Linked DNA regions of Notamacropus eugenii. The protein of the gene in region 2 purifies or fractionates together with the protein of the main gene of each other region. This does not show direct contact. Links are inferred from orthologs where the notes say so. Each region holds a gene or a part of one and is shown on either strand. Other genes may lie near its edges.

The links. The genes of interacting proteins can lie anywhere in the genome.
Region 1: the proteins of NDEL1 (region 2) and DYNC1I1 purify together in Homo sapiens (affinity purification with western blotting; 3 studies listed by BioGRID and IntAct, with this or other methods). This does not show direct contact. The link is inferred for Notamacropus eugenii from reciprocal best matches to the Homo sapiens genes NDEL1 and DYNC1I1.

The regions. Positions count from the first base shown.
Region 1 is NC_092874.1:942,365-949,867, reverse strand, and holds the start of DYNC1I1 (cytoplasmic dynein 1 intermediate chain 1), read right to left. Parts: upstream 3,015-7,503; 5' UTR 2,770-3,014; intron 1-2,769. UniProt on the Homo sapiens protein: Acts as one of several non-catalytic accessory components of the cytoplasmic dynein 1 complex that are thought to be involved in linking dynein to cargos and to adapter proteins that regulate dynein function.
Region 2 is NC_092873.1:77,336,593-77,344,229, forward strand, and holds the start of NDEL1 (nuclear distribution protein nudE-like 1), read right to left. Parts: upstream 3,018-7,637; 5' UTR 2,904-3,017; intron 1-2,903. UniProt on the Homo sapiens protein: Required for organization of the cellular microtubule array and microtubule anchoring at the centrosome. May regulate microtubule organization at least in part by targeting the microtubule severing protein KATNA1 to the centrosome.

The DNA.
Region 1 (7,503 bases), on a different chromosome or scaffold from region 2:
TTGTTTTTATGCCAGTTATTTCCAGATGTGGACCTACCCTAACAAGCCTTCCATAGTGACAAATTAAGAGCAATTTGACAATACCAAGAGACTTCTGTGTGACAGAGTATACGACATTCCACGCCCACAGTCCCCCACCTCCCCAACCATAGGAAGGATGGACGCTTCTTGTTTCTTCTCACAGGAGAAGACTTGTCACCCTGATAACACAGAGTGCTGTTTCATGGAATTGATCTTCCATTTTCATGCTTCCTTCACTGTGTCAAGCTCTGCTCATCCTTTTTCTTTTCATTCATATCTTTCCACAACCAATAATGCATTCTTACTAAGGGTCTGGGAGCTGAGGACCAGCCACGGGAGCACATGGGTGCTCACAACTAACACATGAGCAAGGAGGGCCCTTTCAAATGGTATCACTCTATTTCTGCCCATGAAATGAGCACAGAGGAACAAGGCCAGGGGAAAATCAGCTCCTAGAAGCAATGGGGATGGCTTCACTCTCTTGAGGTCACCTTATGCACAGGGAAGGGCCATGGATGCAAATTTCTGCTGCTAACTCCCTGAGTCACCTTGAAGACATCACTTGACTGTCTTTGTGCCTCAACTTCCTTATCTGTATCATGAGAGGACACAGCCAGAGGATTTCTAAGGTTCCCTCCACCTCTCTAACCAGTGACGGGAAGTGCCCAAGTCGAGTATAAATGACCCCTGACTTGGGAAACTAGAACCGGACTTCTGATTCAGGTCTGGGTTGGACCAGGAGAGCTCTGAGGGCCCCTAAGTCTCAGAGTCAAAGTCACATGACTTTTCCTGGCCAACATGATAGGCTCAATAAAATGATCTCTGAAACTGTCCTGAGGATCACTGCTTAGAGAGGTGGAGAGACTCTTCAAACGTAGTGAATATGACCTGAACTCCATGCCTAACCAGACCAGGGTACAAACGTCTCTGGTTTTTCTGCTGTCCTGCTACCTTCGTGACTCAGCCTGAAGTCCAACATTAAAATCCCCAGGGTTCCACTGGAGGTCTAGCCACTGGGTCCCTACTTTCATTTCTTGAGTCCAAATGTAAAACTTCCTTTTTCCTTGTTAAAGGGCATCATTTTAGATCCTGTCTAGCCTGTTGGACTCCAATCTACTCACCAGACTGCCCAGCTTGGTGCTGTCCAATGTGACTAGTATTCCAACTATGCTACATCCAAGATGTTGACAAAAATGCTGAGCAGAGCAGGGCCAAATGCTGACCTTTAGGGAGGGCCACTAAGACCTCCTTTCATGATACCAACAAACCATCCACTCTAATCCTTGAACTAGTTCTGAATGTCCCTGACAGAGCTGTCATGCAGCCCACCAGAAGTCTCTCTGTTAGTCTTGCTAACAAGGATATATTGAGTGACACCATGAAATGACCTGCTGTAACCCTTTGACCATTACCAGGCTTGAAAAGAAATGAGGTCGAATGCAAAGGAAATCAGACAGTGGATTTCAAAGAAATTGTTTCCGCTCAGCTGATGCTTTTACTTGCCTTTCTTCCTCTTCATGGAGCAGGTTGGCAGATGAGGGCATAGCCTGAAAACCCTACCCAGGTTCTCTGAATTTAGCACTGGGCAAGCACTGGCTGAAGATAGCTGACCAACTGGAGCCCCCTCCCCCACCCCATTTCCCAGCCAGAACTCTGCCTAATGGCTTCTGAAATACATTCACAAGGCTGGTCTCTTGGGCTTACTCTGAGGGTCGAAGCTCGTCTAAGGTTCTGCTTCTGCTGTGGAAATGGCCCAAGACAGGGATGGGAAGAAGAAAGACAGAGGGAACCTTGACGCACTCATACCTAGACTGCCAAGGAAAGGGGCCTTCTTCTCATGACAAGACGTCAGCGACTTGGGACCGAGGGGGAAAGACTGGTGGCTAAAGACAAGCTCAGTGAGAGAATCTCTATCCTTTTCTGGAAGAAACGAACCAAGATGGGGAGAGGGAGCCCAAGGAGGCGAGTTCTTTGTCCCACGAGGATTCCAAGCAGGAATTCTGAGGGGACCCTTCTGTTTGCGCTTGCGATGAGTCTCCCCAAAAGCACAGCGGATTCATTCTCACACCTTTGCGGTGCTCTCCCCCAACTCTGAGTCATGAGACCCTGGCTGTGGGGGAAGGGCCCAGCCCCGAGATCATCCGTAGACTTCTAGTTCACACCTTCAGGGTACCCTCCTGCAAGTGCGGGAGGATGATGGAGCTAAGAGCACGGAGACGTGGGGGGTGGGAGCAAGGCCAAGAGGTAACTGGAGGTCAGGGGCAGAGAGGACAACCCCTCCCCCGACCTTGCCCAAGACTAGGTTGCTTTTTTTGTTTTTGTTTTTTTAACCTCGAAGAGGAAAAATGCTCCCACATCCCCGGGGAGAGGGAGTGTACAAAGCAGCTGGCCGGCCCTGCCCTAGCGAGGGCGTGGCAAGGGCGTGGGCTTGCGCTGCAGCATCCCATGGCCTCCAGGGCAGCTCAGCTCTCTGGGCTCTGGCTTGGTTGGAGACGTCCCCCTCCCTCAGGGCCGGGGAATAAGGGATTGTTTGGGGAGGGCGCGCGCGGACTTCCCTGGCCTGCTCACTCTTCCCGGGAGCTGGGGGGAAGGGAGGCGGTAAAGGGGGTTGCTCCCCATCCCCCATCTCCCATCATCTCCCATCTCCCATTCCCCGGTTCTGCCTTCGCGCTGGTCCCCCACTCCGGCTGCCCTTGGGCCCAAGGGAAGCGCGTCACGGTCTCGGTCAGGGGCGCGGGGGCTGGTTACCTGGCACTGCAGCAGCTGGGGCTAAGGACCCGGGCCTCTGGGATGAGCTCAGGCAGTGGCGGCTGCGGCGGTGATGGCAGAAGGGAGGAAGGAGGATGGAGGAGGCAGGAGGGAGGAGCCCGAGCCCGTCGGCAGCTGCCACAGTCCAGCTTGGTCGGTCCTCGGCCTCTGCGCAGCGCTCCGAAGCAGTGGATTGACGGACAGACTGCCTGGCTGGCTGGCGGTGCTGCGGTGCTGTGTCACGGCTGGGGACCCTCCCACCCCCATCACCTCCGGCTCCTCCCCGCCCCTGAGCTCCTCCCCAAACCGCCCCAGCGTCCCCTCCCCCATCCCGGCACTAACCCGAACCCAGACCCTGACCCAGGCTGGTAGACTTGGGGCTGCGCAGGACCCGAGGGGCTATCCGGTGAATTTAACAGAGGAGGAAACTGAGGCCCATGCAGGTGAAAGGAGTTGGTCAGGGTTATACATAGCAAAGGTGGCACGGGAACCCACAACCCCCTACTCTAAGTCTCTGCAAGACCCCTCCTGGTTAGCCTCTTGGGGCAGCCTCCCCCCAGTCCTCTGGAGGCCATCTTGTCCTTCAGCTGGAGGAATCAAATGGAGGGCCGACACACCTGCGGGAAAGGAAGACATGAGCACCCTGCCCCTCCTCCTCTAAGCCTCTGCCTCTCTCTGCCTCTGTCTTTCTGTGTCTGTCTCTCCCATGCACCCAGACAGCACACACATCACGTGCACATTTACTAGGCATATTTCCCATCCCCACACTCACAGCTGTGTGTGTGTGTTGTGTGTGTTGCATGTGTGTGTTGTGTGTGTGTGTGTGTGTGTGTGTGTGTACTCGATCAATGCTTGTTTCCTAACTGGCTAATTAAAAATGTTAAAAAATTCACAAACTCCAGAGAGTCACTGGGGAGGAGGGGAAGAAGAGGGAGAAGGAGCAGAGGTATCAGCCTTCTTTCCTCCATTGTAGGGAAAACCCAAAATACAAAAACAAAATGACAGAGGGTGGGGTACAAAACCAAGAGCAGAGAACCATGAAGAAGTCAGTGGGAAATCTCCCAGGCAATGGAAGCTCAGAAGAAGGCCTGCTTTGACAAATATGCTAAAATAAAGTTTACCAGATCTACTGCTCACTCCTTCTCCTTGTGTGACCTTGGACAAGTGCTCTCACCTCCCTGGATCTCTGTGTTCTCAAATATAAAAGGCAGATATTGCTTTCCATGACCTACAAGTTTCCTTCCTGCTTTAAACTATGGTCCTATGAAAAGGCCTGGAAGTTGGAGTATCAGAACTAAGTCCATCAGCTTAATTTTTGAGTTTGGGCATATTCATTTTTTGTGGCCAGATCTAGAGGGCTTGGGGTTTGAGGGAAGGGATGGTGAATCACATCTACACCCTTTATGGTTTGGTAGAACATAGTCCCAAAGTGATTTGAGCAGAATGCAGGCTAACAATTAGGAACTCTTCAGAGTTAAAAAAATAATGAGGATTTTCTAACCCAAAGTCAGAGAGAGGGTTGGAACAGAGGTGTTGGCCCTGGCAGCTAAAAGAAGTTAAAAGAATACACAATCCTAAACATCAGCCACTCTGCCTGGCTTTTGTTCCAAGACTTTTGGCTAGGTGTGGTGGCTTGAGCCATGATTAAAGATTGACCACTCAGCCCTTATCAGGGAGACTTCCTAATCCCTGGAATTGCCCTATCAAATAGAGGTCAAAATGGCCTTGATAGGAGGAAGCCAAGAAGCTGAGGAGAGAAAAATGTGGCCCCCAAAAGACAGCAGGGAGCAACACTAGAAGGGAGTAGGCTCAGGCAAGAGGAGCAAGGTCTCTTTGCTAGATAATATCAGCATCCCTGCATTACTAGAGGCATCACCACACATGTGCTCTGGCTACACATGTTCCATATATTCATGACTCCATTGGTTATATCTATGCAGATTCACTCTGCCCACTGGCAGTGTGTACAACTGTAGAAGAATGCACCTCAGGTTGGAAGGGATGTCTTGCTACTACTGGTCTTAATGTGCCATTTCATTAATGTTCTTAATATGCTATAATATGATAATTGTGGCCTCTGGCTGAATTATAAAAGGAAGCTGGATCCTAATCAGTGTAAATTTGAATTCACATGATTTAAGGTTATAATTATGTAAAAAATGATAATTGGTTCCAACCCAAAGAAAATATGGAGTGCCAATCTGAATACCACAATTTCAAGGAATTTGTTATAATTCGCACTGAGACTTAGTATGTAAACACATCGAGGATCTCGTTAGCTTCGGCTTCGTATGACTGTGGACTTATAGTGTACCTTGAGCCTGGAATGAATGTTCTGGGGGACCCACATGCCAGACAGAATGTCCTCGCTTTAAGCAGGTGAATCTGACCAAGTGACTTACCTCTCCAGAAGAAACACTGAGGGGAGGAGTGAAATGGAGTCAATGACTAAGACTAAAAGGATTGGTGTGTAGCAATGTGGGTGGGGTGGGGGATGGAGATTATATAACGTGAGTTTGTAGTGAGCTACAAGATCCACCACTCAGCAGTACAGAGAGATGTAGGAGCAAAGATGGTGAATAGAGGTGGTGGCCCTGGGCCTGACCAGAGGGAAGCAAAAGGAGAAGGTATTTAAGAGTAAAGGAGATTGGAAAATCAAGACTCTAAAGTGAGGCCAGAGCTGGGACAGAACAGAGCAGGGAGGGTCATGGGGGGCATTTCAGTGAGGTCAGGGTGAAGAGTGGGAGCGATAGAAGATGGTTATTATCAGAGGAAGAAGGGTCACTGTTCAAGAACATGAAGATGATACATTGATAGGTCATGCCACCTAGGGGGATGGCTGGGGTTGGTGTGGAGGAACATATGGGTCATGGATGTTGAGATGGTTGTGGACAAAGTTTCTGACAAGGAGGGAGGTGGTTGAGAGAGAGGGAATGCTCAGAGGGCAGTGAGGGCCTAGAGATTCTGTCCTTGAAAGATTGGTTGAAGAAACTGGACATGTTTAGAATGGAGAAGGAAAGACTTGGAAGGCAGGAAGGACAGGAAGGTGTTTGGGGGGTTGTCCCTTGGAAGAAGGTTAGATTTCTTCAGTTCAGATGAGAAGACAGACCTGTGGACAGTACTCCAATTTGCAAATGGGCAGACTGAGGATTGATATATGCTGCTTAACCATGAGCACTGTCCAGAAGTGGAATGGGCCACCACAGAAGGAAGGAGGGAGCTCACTCTCCTTGAGGTCACGATGAGCAGATGGACCAATGAATGAATGGACCAACAAACCATTTATTAAGCCTGCTGTTTGCCAGGCTCTACCGAACATAGATGATGTCAGTGCAGAAGTGAGACAGATCCTCCCCTTGATGAACCAACATTCTCATTGATAAATTCCAACCATATAGGAGAGTGTTGACCGGGAAAGGGAGCTTGGTTCTAGATGATCTCAGGTTCTAGATGATGATGGCAAATGGATCCACTCAGCTCTGACTTGTTCTTTCCAGAAGCAAGGTTCCTATTTGTGAGATAGATTGTTGTGTTTAGGACAGGAAGTGGGACTGGGAAAAAGCTTCGTTCACTCTGCTGAGCAGAGTTGGTGGATTCTCTGATGGGGATTCTCTGATGAATCCTGCTGGACCTGAAACCAGTTAGGGACTTGTCATCCGTTCCAAGCCTTGTTTTTGTAGTTAAATTTTATTTTTCTGTTTTCAAATATTTATTCCAGCCCTTCCATTGGAAAAGAACAAAACCCTTGTAGCCAATAAGCATAATCCCATCTTGATATCCAAAAGTCTGACCCATTCTGCCCTTTCATCCTTCCCTCTCAGTAACTCTGCGCTTCCTTATAAACTCTGAACTCTTGGCTGGTCATTAGGGAAGGACGAGGGCAGGGAAGGGAAGCGTAGATGAAGCGCCTACAAATTTTATCTTCCATGATCATTACACTGATCAGAGCACCTGAGGTTATTGTGCACATCTTAGTCTACATCAGCTCATAAAAGGCTTCCCAGGTTTCTACTGTGCAACGTATGAATGAAGCACATTCATTACCATAACTCAGCCATACCGCAATTGATGGGCACTTCCTCAGTTTACTGCTCTTTGCCACCTCAAAAAGAGCTGCTATCCATATTTTTGTCTGTGTGAGTGGCTTGTCCTCTTTTTTTGATGGCAGAGGTCTAGTACTGTTTATTGGGTGAAACGACACAGTTTCATGATTTCGTGGCACAGTTCCAAATTGCTTTCCAGAAAGATAATGTCAATTCACAGTTCCACCAATAGTGCATCGACATGTCTGTTTATAGCCCCTCTGACACTTGTCATTTTGCTTTTGTTTCAATTAGCTTTGCCAGTCAAATGAAGAGAAAGTGCAGCCTCAAAGTTGCTTTAATTAGCAGTCTCTAATTCTTAGTTTTTTGAGGAATTTTTTCATTTGACTCTTGATAACTTGAATTTCTTCATCTGAGAACTGCATGTTTATGTCCTTTGGTCATTTTCAACTGGTGAATGGCTCTAATATTTATATATCTTGGAAAGGAGACCTTTATCAGAGAAACTCATTTTAAAGACTTGTCTATTAATGGTTTACCTTCTAATCTTAGCTGCATTGGCTTTGTTTGTGCAAAAACTTTCAAATTTTGTATAATCAGAATTTTCCATTTTAGCTTCTTGTATTGTCTCTAGCCATTATTTGGTTATGAGCTGCTCCCCACCTATCAATCTGAAACATGATTTATTCCT
Region 2 (7,637 bases):
AGGACATAAAAAGTTTGCTTACAACCTCCAAGAAGTTAGCAATGCAAAAGTGGAGAAAGTCATGCTTCAATCCATAAAAAGGGATTCTTAAGCACCCTACGGGAACAACAGACTCATGCCAAGCAAAATGAAACATAACAGAGATCTCCAAGAAAACATAAGATCAAAACACTCTGGCAAACAACTTATTGAAAGTAACCCTATTTTGCCAAAGAAATCAAAGCTTCGTTGATGGGTTTTTTTTAAAGAGATAAAAAGAAAAAAAGCATGAAGACAAGGAAAAAGCAAGGAATATAACTTAATTAATAAAAGATACACAGAATAGAGACCATTTTTTAAGTCACCAAGGTACAGTGGATAGAATGCTGGACAGGCAGAATCAGGAAGATCTGAGTTCAAATCCCATTTCAAACATTTATTAGGTGCATGACCTAGTAGGATAATTCACATAACTTCCCTGGGCTCTTTTCTTCATCTGTGAAATGAGAAAGCTTGGCCTATTCTATGGTACCACAGTTTAAGGAGTTGTCTTTTGTAAATTTTGGAGTAATTTATTTGTTGGGTTGCATCATTCTGATTTTTGAAGTATGGAGAGACTGTAGCATTTACCTGTTTGTATTTATTTGGTGGGGGAGGAGATAGAAAGTGATTATATAGGAATGTGGGAGGAAGGACCAAAAGTCATTGCATCCAGTCACTTCCTGATTGGCTGAGAGAGATCCAACTTATATAATAGGCAAAAGAGTTTGACCCAGCACACCCAAGTGAGGAATCTCAAAATCAGACTGGTAGCATTCTAGTAGCCAAGACAATATTCTTTGATGCAGTCATGACAGAGTCAGCCATGGCAGCATGAGTTTACCAAGCTAGAAGAGGGTCAGCACCCACCTGGCCAGGAGAAGTTTATTTAAGTCATAGGTTAAAAAGTTTAGGTGGTACTAAGTCTGAAATTAGCTTATTTCTAATTACCTTGTCCTGAATTATTTATGAATTTCTATGTTCTCTTTTCCCTGGTAAACGAATTCTTTAAAAAAAAAAAAGCTTTCATGATCTGAAGCATGTGGAAACAGGATAAAAAGAGAAAAAGAAGCTGATGTAAAACAGGACACCTGCTTCTTTGTAGCAACACCTTAATAATGACAAATTAGGAGCAGTTGCAGCAGAGCTACAGACCCAAATGGCCAACCTTTGGTTCAGTGACCCAGGAAAGTACATAAAAAAGGCACAATGCCTTTAGTGGGGGGGTTCAGAATGTGGTGAAAAGTGAAGGCTCCAAAGTTCAATAAAAAGTCTGGATTAGTTAAGCCTAAAACTCAAGGCTGGATCCCTGAACACCATGATCAGAGACAGAATACTGGACTGGATGTCCTATCCCAAATCTGACCCAGCAGGACAAGTCTTATGTCAAGCACTATTATACTGTACATGGCATACATAGCTACTAAGAACTCAATTCAGTAGACATCTCTTGCAACAGCCTGCTTATCAAATCACTCCATCTTAGTCTAAATTTACTTTTGTATCTAAGTACAGTATTTAGAAAAGCTTTATGCTACTGCAGCTTATTTACAGTTGTCACTAACTATCCTCTAGCAGCCAACAAGCCCATCAAATACTCTTTTAAACCTTCTTGTTAAAACAAAAATATTCTAAGGTTTTATTTATTTTTCAAAGTTCTCTAATTTGACTTCAATTTTTCCCCAGAGTTAAAGTCAGAAATTAGAATGGAAGAAAGCTAATTAGATTCACTCTAACTGAAGTAGCTGAGATTGACTGATTGATGAACTTCAATCAGCTGAGAAAGGTATCGGGAGGACACAGTTTTTGGTCCCAGCTCCACTTTCAGGTTCAAATTCAATTCAATAAACGTTTATTAAGTGTCAGGCAGGGTGCTAACCCCCGAGGACGCAAAAAGAGGGAAAAGAGAGTCCCTGCCCTCAAGGCGCTTACAGTCTAAAGGGCAGACAAAATGCAAACCAAGATATACAAAGCAAGCTATCTACAGGATAAATACCAAAGGACACAGGGAAGGCTTCCCGTCTGTGGTCTGATTTTAGCTGGGACTTAAAGGCATAAATAGAATACGTCCAAGTGCTTGGAAGAATCGCCGAACTGTAAGACAGTATCACCATTCAATTATATACTTGGGAAAAAGAGTAAGGCACCTGCAGCTCAGTACAGTGGGCAGAGCGCCGGCTCTGGATTCAAAGGGCTGGGGCCAAATCCTACCTGGGATACTACCTGTGTGTTCTAGGGCAAATCATTAAACCTTGGTTTTCTCATCTGTAAGATGAGGGGGGTTGGACTAGACAGCTCGAGGTCCCTTCCAGCTCTAGGAAAAAAAACCAAGGCTGCGATGCCAACGGTTCCTCCGCGACACTCGAGAAGCGACCTGAAAACACCTGGGGACACTGAATGGAGCCCAAGGCCTGCCCCCAGGGAAGGGAGGGCACGTCGCGACCTCCGCACCCCCACCCTGTCGGTACGGCTGGGCCAGCCCCGGTGCCCGCCGTGCCACGTCCGGGATGGTCCCCGGTGCCCGCCGTGCCACGTCCCGGATGGTCCCCGGTGCCCGCCGTGCCACGTCCCGGATGGTCCCCGGCGCGCGGCCCTCTCGCAGCGCCTCCGCCGTCTCCCCTGCCCCGGGCCCTCCATCTCCCGAGAGGGGTGCGGAGGTCCTGGTGGGCGCGGCCACTCCCGCACGGGAGCGCGGGGCCGACGGACTGACAGCGCCGGGCTGGCCCGGGCGCGGCCCCTGCAGGTAGGCTGGCTGGGCCGGCAGCCCCCGGGGAGCCGGGCCCGGCCCCGCCCCGCCCCAAGTCCCGAGGCCGCGGGCCGGCGGAGAGGCCCGAACCAGCCGCCCAGCCCGGGCCCTTCCGGTCCTTTCGGCGCGTCAGTCTCACCTGGACGGTGTCAAACGGACATTTTCGCGGACCAGACTGGACCGGACCGGACTCCGTCCTCGGCGCCTCGATTCCGCCTCCTTTCTAGCCTTCTCCAGCGAGCTCGCTCTCGCTCTCGCCTCCTCCCCCGTGCCGCGTCACGCGCACCGACCTCCGCGCGCGATACTTCTGGCGGGCGGGGCCGTCACAAGCCGCTCTGTGACGCAGCGCGGAGAGGGGTGTGGGTTCGGAGCGTCCGGGCTCCCGGGCCCGAAGGGAAGGGAGAAGGATGGCGTCACGGGGAGGGGAGGGGAGGGGAGGGGAAGAAGAAGGTGAGGGCGGCTATTCGGGACAGCTCGGGCCAGCCACGCAGGAGTGGGAGAGCGTGGCGGAGTTCCTGCGCAAGCGCAGAGGCTGCCGCACGGAGCTGAGCGCAGGGCCCCGCCCGCTTCCTCCACCACGGTCCGCGGCCGGTCGTCCCGGGGCTCCTCCTGGGGAAGAGTTGGCCTCCCCTGCGTGGGCACGGAGGCCGAGCTCGATCGGGTCGGAGTCCCACCCTCCCTCCTGGTCACCTGCTGTGTAGCCGGGCCTCAGTCTCCTCTAATGTAAAATAATGTAAAAAGATTTTTTTTAACCTTAAACCGTCTTTACGCTCTTAAAAGTGACTGAGGATATCCCCCCAAAAAGAGCTTTTGTCTATGTGAGTTATTTATTAATATTTGCTGTATTCGAAATTAAAACGTCTTTGTATTATCATGAAAATACCTTCCTCCTAGCGGACAGCCTGAAAAGATCTCTGGAACCCTCTGGACCACACTAGGAGAACCACTCGGGCCCGATGGACCCTATGGTCCCTTCCAGCTAGCTCAAAGGCGGGGAGCACGCGCTTGAGGCCCTAGAGGGCCACGTGTGGCCTCGAGGCGGCGGGTTCCCTAGCCCGGCCTTTATCACAGAAGCCTGACAGTGCATCCCTCGCCTCATGCTGGTTCTTTTACAATTCTTGTCAGTTTCAAAGCTGCCCTTGAAGCTAATTTTAGAAAATCTGGAGAGGAAGGATACAAATGTATCCGTGCAACGGAAGAATGGGAGAAATGGATACAAGGGACCTTTCAAAGGAAGACAGCGGCGGCGTGTGGTTACCGTTTGGATAGGAGGCATTTAACGAAAAGAGAAGAAAGTGGGAGAGAAGAAGGGATTTGGGATCAAAGGTGACTGGGGCCTCCATCAAACACAAAGTAAAATACTTTTAGACTGGCAGGTAAATTAAGGACATCAGAAACAATTAGGAACAGTTTTCTTTATAAGGGCCGGTATCTATGATATTCATGAAGTTTTTCAGGGGACTGCCTTCCTTGTAGACTTGACTGTGATTTGTAACATCCATCATCAGTCTCCTCAAAAATATCTAGCTTCTCCTGCCTTCCTAAGATAGGTCGTAACTTACCCAGAATAGTTGGAAATCTTGTCATTTCACTATGCAAAATATTAATTTTGAATATAGTAGGTGCTTAATAAATGGAATCAGTGAATTTGCTGTCACTTTTCAGTAGGACAGGAAAATAAAAAGAATTAAAGCAGAATTTGTTAAATGCCTACTTTGTTTCTGGCTCTAAGTTAGACAACATCGGGCTAAGTCCTTGACCCGAAAGAACTTATACACCTGGTAGGAAAGATAATAGTTAATATGAAATAGCAATAAGGAAATAATGCAAGGCAAAAAAAAGAAGAGAAGACATCAATATAGGCCATGGTGGTTAGGAAAAAAAAAATCATAGAGGAAGTGAAATGTGCGTTTTACCACCAGATAACTAGCAAGCTGAGCTGTCAGTTATCCACTGACCATCTGAATTAAATGCTCAAGTCTATGCTTCCCCAACCCTTCTTGTAAGGAGCTTTCCTAGCAACCACCTCTACCCCTCTCGGGGTCTGTCTTTCTCTTTTAAAAACAGTAAGTTTTTAGGGCAAAAGGGAAAAAATTACATCCCTTCACTGGTCTTCTTTGGGTCTCAATTTGGGTCTCAATTTCCTCATCTAAAAGAGACTCAGGTAAAGATTCCTCAGCTAAAAGATTCTAATCCAACCTCCACATTTTACAGATGAGGAAACTTGGGTTTTGCTCTAATTTTAACCTTCTTTCCTCCGGACCACACCAAGGATAGTATAAGTAGTGGCAGGGGAAGCAGTAGATAAGAATGAGTTTGATATGGACAATGGGACCAGGTTGACTGGATAGAATTCAAAATGAGGTATAATAAGAGGTAAAATTTAAAAAGGGTACAGCAAGATTATGAGGACTTTTGAATGACAGGAAGAGGAAGGAGTCCAATGATGACTCCAAGGTTTTAAATATGGGTGACACAACAGTGACTTGTTGACAAGAAATCAGGAAGCTGAGTGGAATAACTTGTCTGGGTGGAAGATGACAAGTTTAATTTAGGTCATAGAATTTACAGCTGTAATGAACCTTAAGGTCTGAGAGTCCAGCCCCGTAATTCTATGGAAGAAAAAACTGAGACTTTGAGAGACATGACTTTACCAAGGCCACACAGCTAATAAGTGGCAAAGCCAGTTAATAGAGAATATTGAATAGTAGAGAGAGCAGAACATCTATTAGACAACTATTGTTTACAGGATTGTAAGTGAAAGATAAATACTAGAAAAAGAAATTCAGAAGCCATCCACTTGGAAGTGGCATGCGGAAGTTACACATGAACTACTGAAGATGAGCACCCATCATTCACAAGGTCATGAAAATTTGGCCACCTCCAGATTGTGATGGGTGAAATCTGAAGTCACAGAGGAAACAAAAGTTCAAGGTTTCAAGCATCAATTTATTAAGCAATATATGCCTATGGCATAACAAATTGGAACCAGGCCTCCTCAGCTTGGCACTAGACCCTTAATACAGGAGGAGACATCCTTATGTATTGAAAACAATTAACAAGATACAAACCCAGATACAAATTAGATAATCTGATTTCTAATGGAGAGAGGTTAAGGACTTTCTGAGTTGGGAGAGGTAGAGTGAACAGGTGCAATTCCCTGAAGTCAGAAGGAAAAAAGAAGTGTTTCACTTTCCCCCTGCTCCTCAAATGTCTATATTCAATCAAAGGAACAAGAAAACCAGTATAGGCCAATTTTCAGTTAAGACATATGGGTTCCTTGAGATGTAGAATTGTAAGAAAACTCCTTGATCTTGGTTCTGACTGGGTTTCTGGTCAGCATAATCTAGGTCCTTAGTTAAAGTTCTCTAAGCAACAAGTAGAGGTAGTCTAACTTCCTAACTATGCAAGGCTAGTTTTAAGCAAATGTAATAATGTTTTCTCACCATTCCTATAATTGAATAACATTTTCTCGCAGGACAGAAATTGGACTAGATCCATAATTGAATAGAAAGGGAACTGAACTAGATCCAGAATTGAGTCACAAGATGGAATCAGTTTGGTTCACTCAATTCCCACGATTCTTCTCCTTTGATTCCTGGGAGAGGAGACTGGCACCCTCTCCTATAAATCACTTATCTATAAGTCAAATCTATAAGGTTTTCCATATATTCATAATCGGAATTATATAAGTCAGGTTATAGATCAGACTATCTAGAGGGTTCACAATGAACTCATTTTGAGAAGGGAGATTTATATCACCAACATAACTTCAGCAGACCTAAACACCATGAAACAAAAGGCCAAAATAATACAGTGATAATCATCAATATTAGATAACATTGTCTTCTTCTATTCTAGTAATCCACTGTTAATGTCCACTTAAGCATCACATATTGTCTTAAGTCTCAGTTTTCCCATGTGGTCATCTGGTCCCTGGAAATATCTTCTGGACATTCTGAAATAGGCCTCATTTTCAGAATAGCTCTGAAGAGGACTTCGCTTCTCTTTTTCTAAATCATTTGTAGAGATTCCTAGATAATTAAAGGCAGCAAGGTGGCTCAGAGCACTAGGCCTTGAGTCAAGAAGAACTGAGTTCAAATATGGCCTCAGACACTTACTAGATCCTTGGCAAGTTACTTAGCTTCTGTTTGCCTTAGTCCATTGGAGGAGGGAATGACAAACCACTCCAATATCTTTGCCAAGAAAACCCCATGGAGATATGGTTCACAGGATGACAAAGAGTCAGATGCAACTGAATGACCGAACAATAGACAAGACTGTAGCATACAAAATACATGACTACAGTAATGTGATTTAATATAATCTTTTAAATTTGGTTTTCCAATAACTAGCTCATGTGGTGAAAACCAACTCAAGCCTTATGGTTCTGATCCTATTAACCACAGAGATATAAGAAGGACATCAAATTAGAAACCCATAATTGACCTGAGGCTTTAGAAAATTTTAGTTTTTTATATGACTAGTTACTATTTTTATCTTTACCTACACCCTATACCTGACATAAGAATCTATTAAAAAAAAATCATGAGTTGAAAAATGTCATCCACATCCAGAGAAAGAAGCATGGAGTCAGAATGCAGAATGAAGCAGACTATTTTCTCTTTTTGTTATATTTTATTTTGTTTTGTTTTTCTTATGGTTTCTCCCATTCATTTTAATTCTTCTATGCAACATGAAAAAAATTGAAGGTGATGTATAAAAAATATCATGAGTGTCTAACTTGTAAAATGAACACTTCTGTCTTTTATTATTATCAGACAAATTTAAAATAGGAAAGTAATATCACCTTCTTTACAATTAGCAGTGCAATTGTATATGTAAAATCCTTAATCCAATTTTTACAACTTAT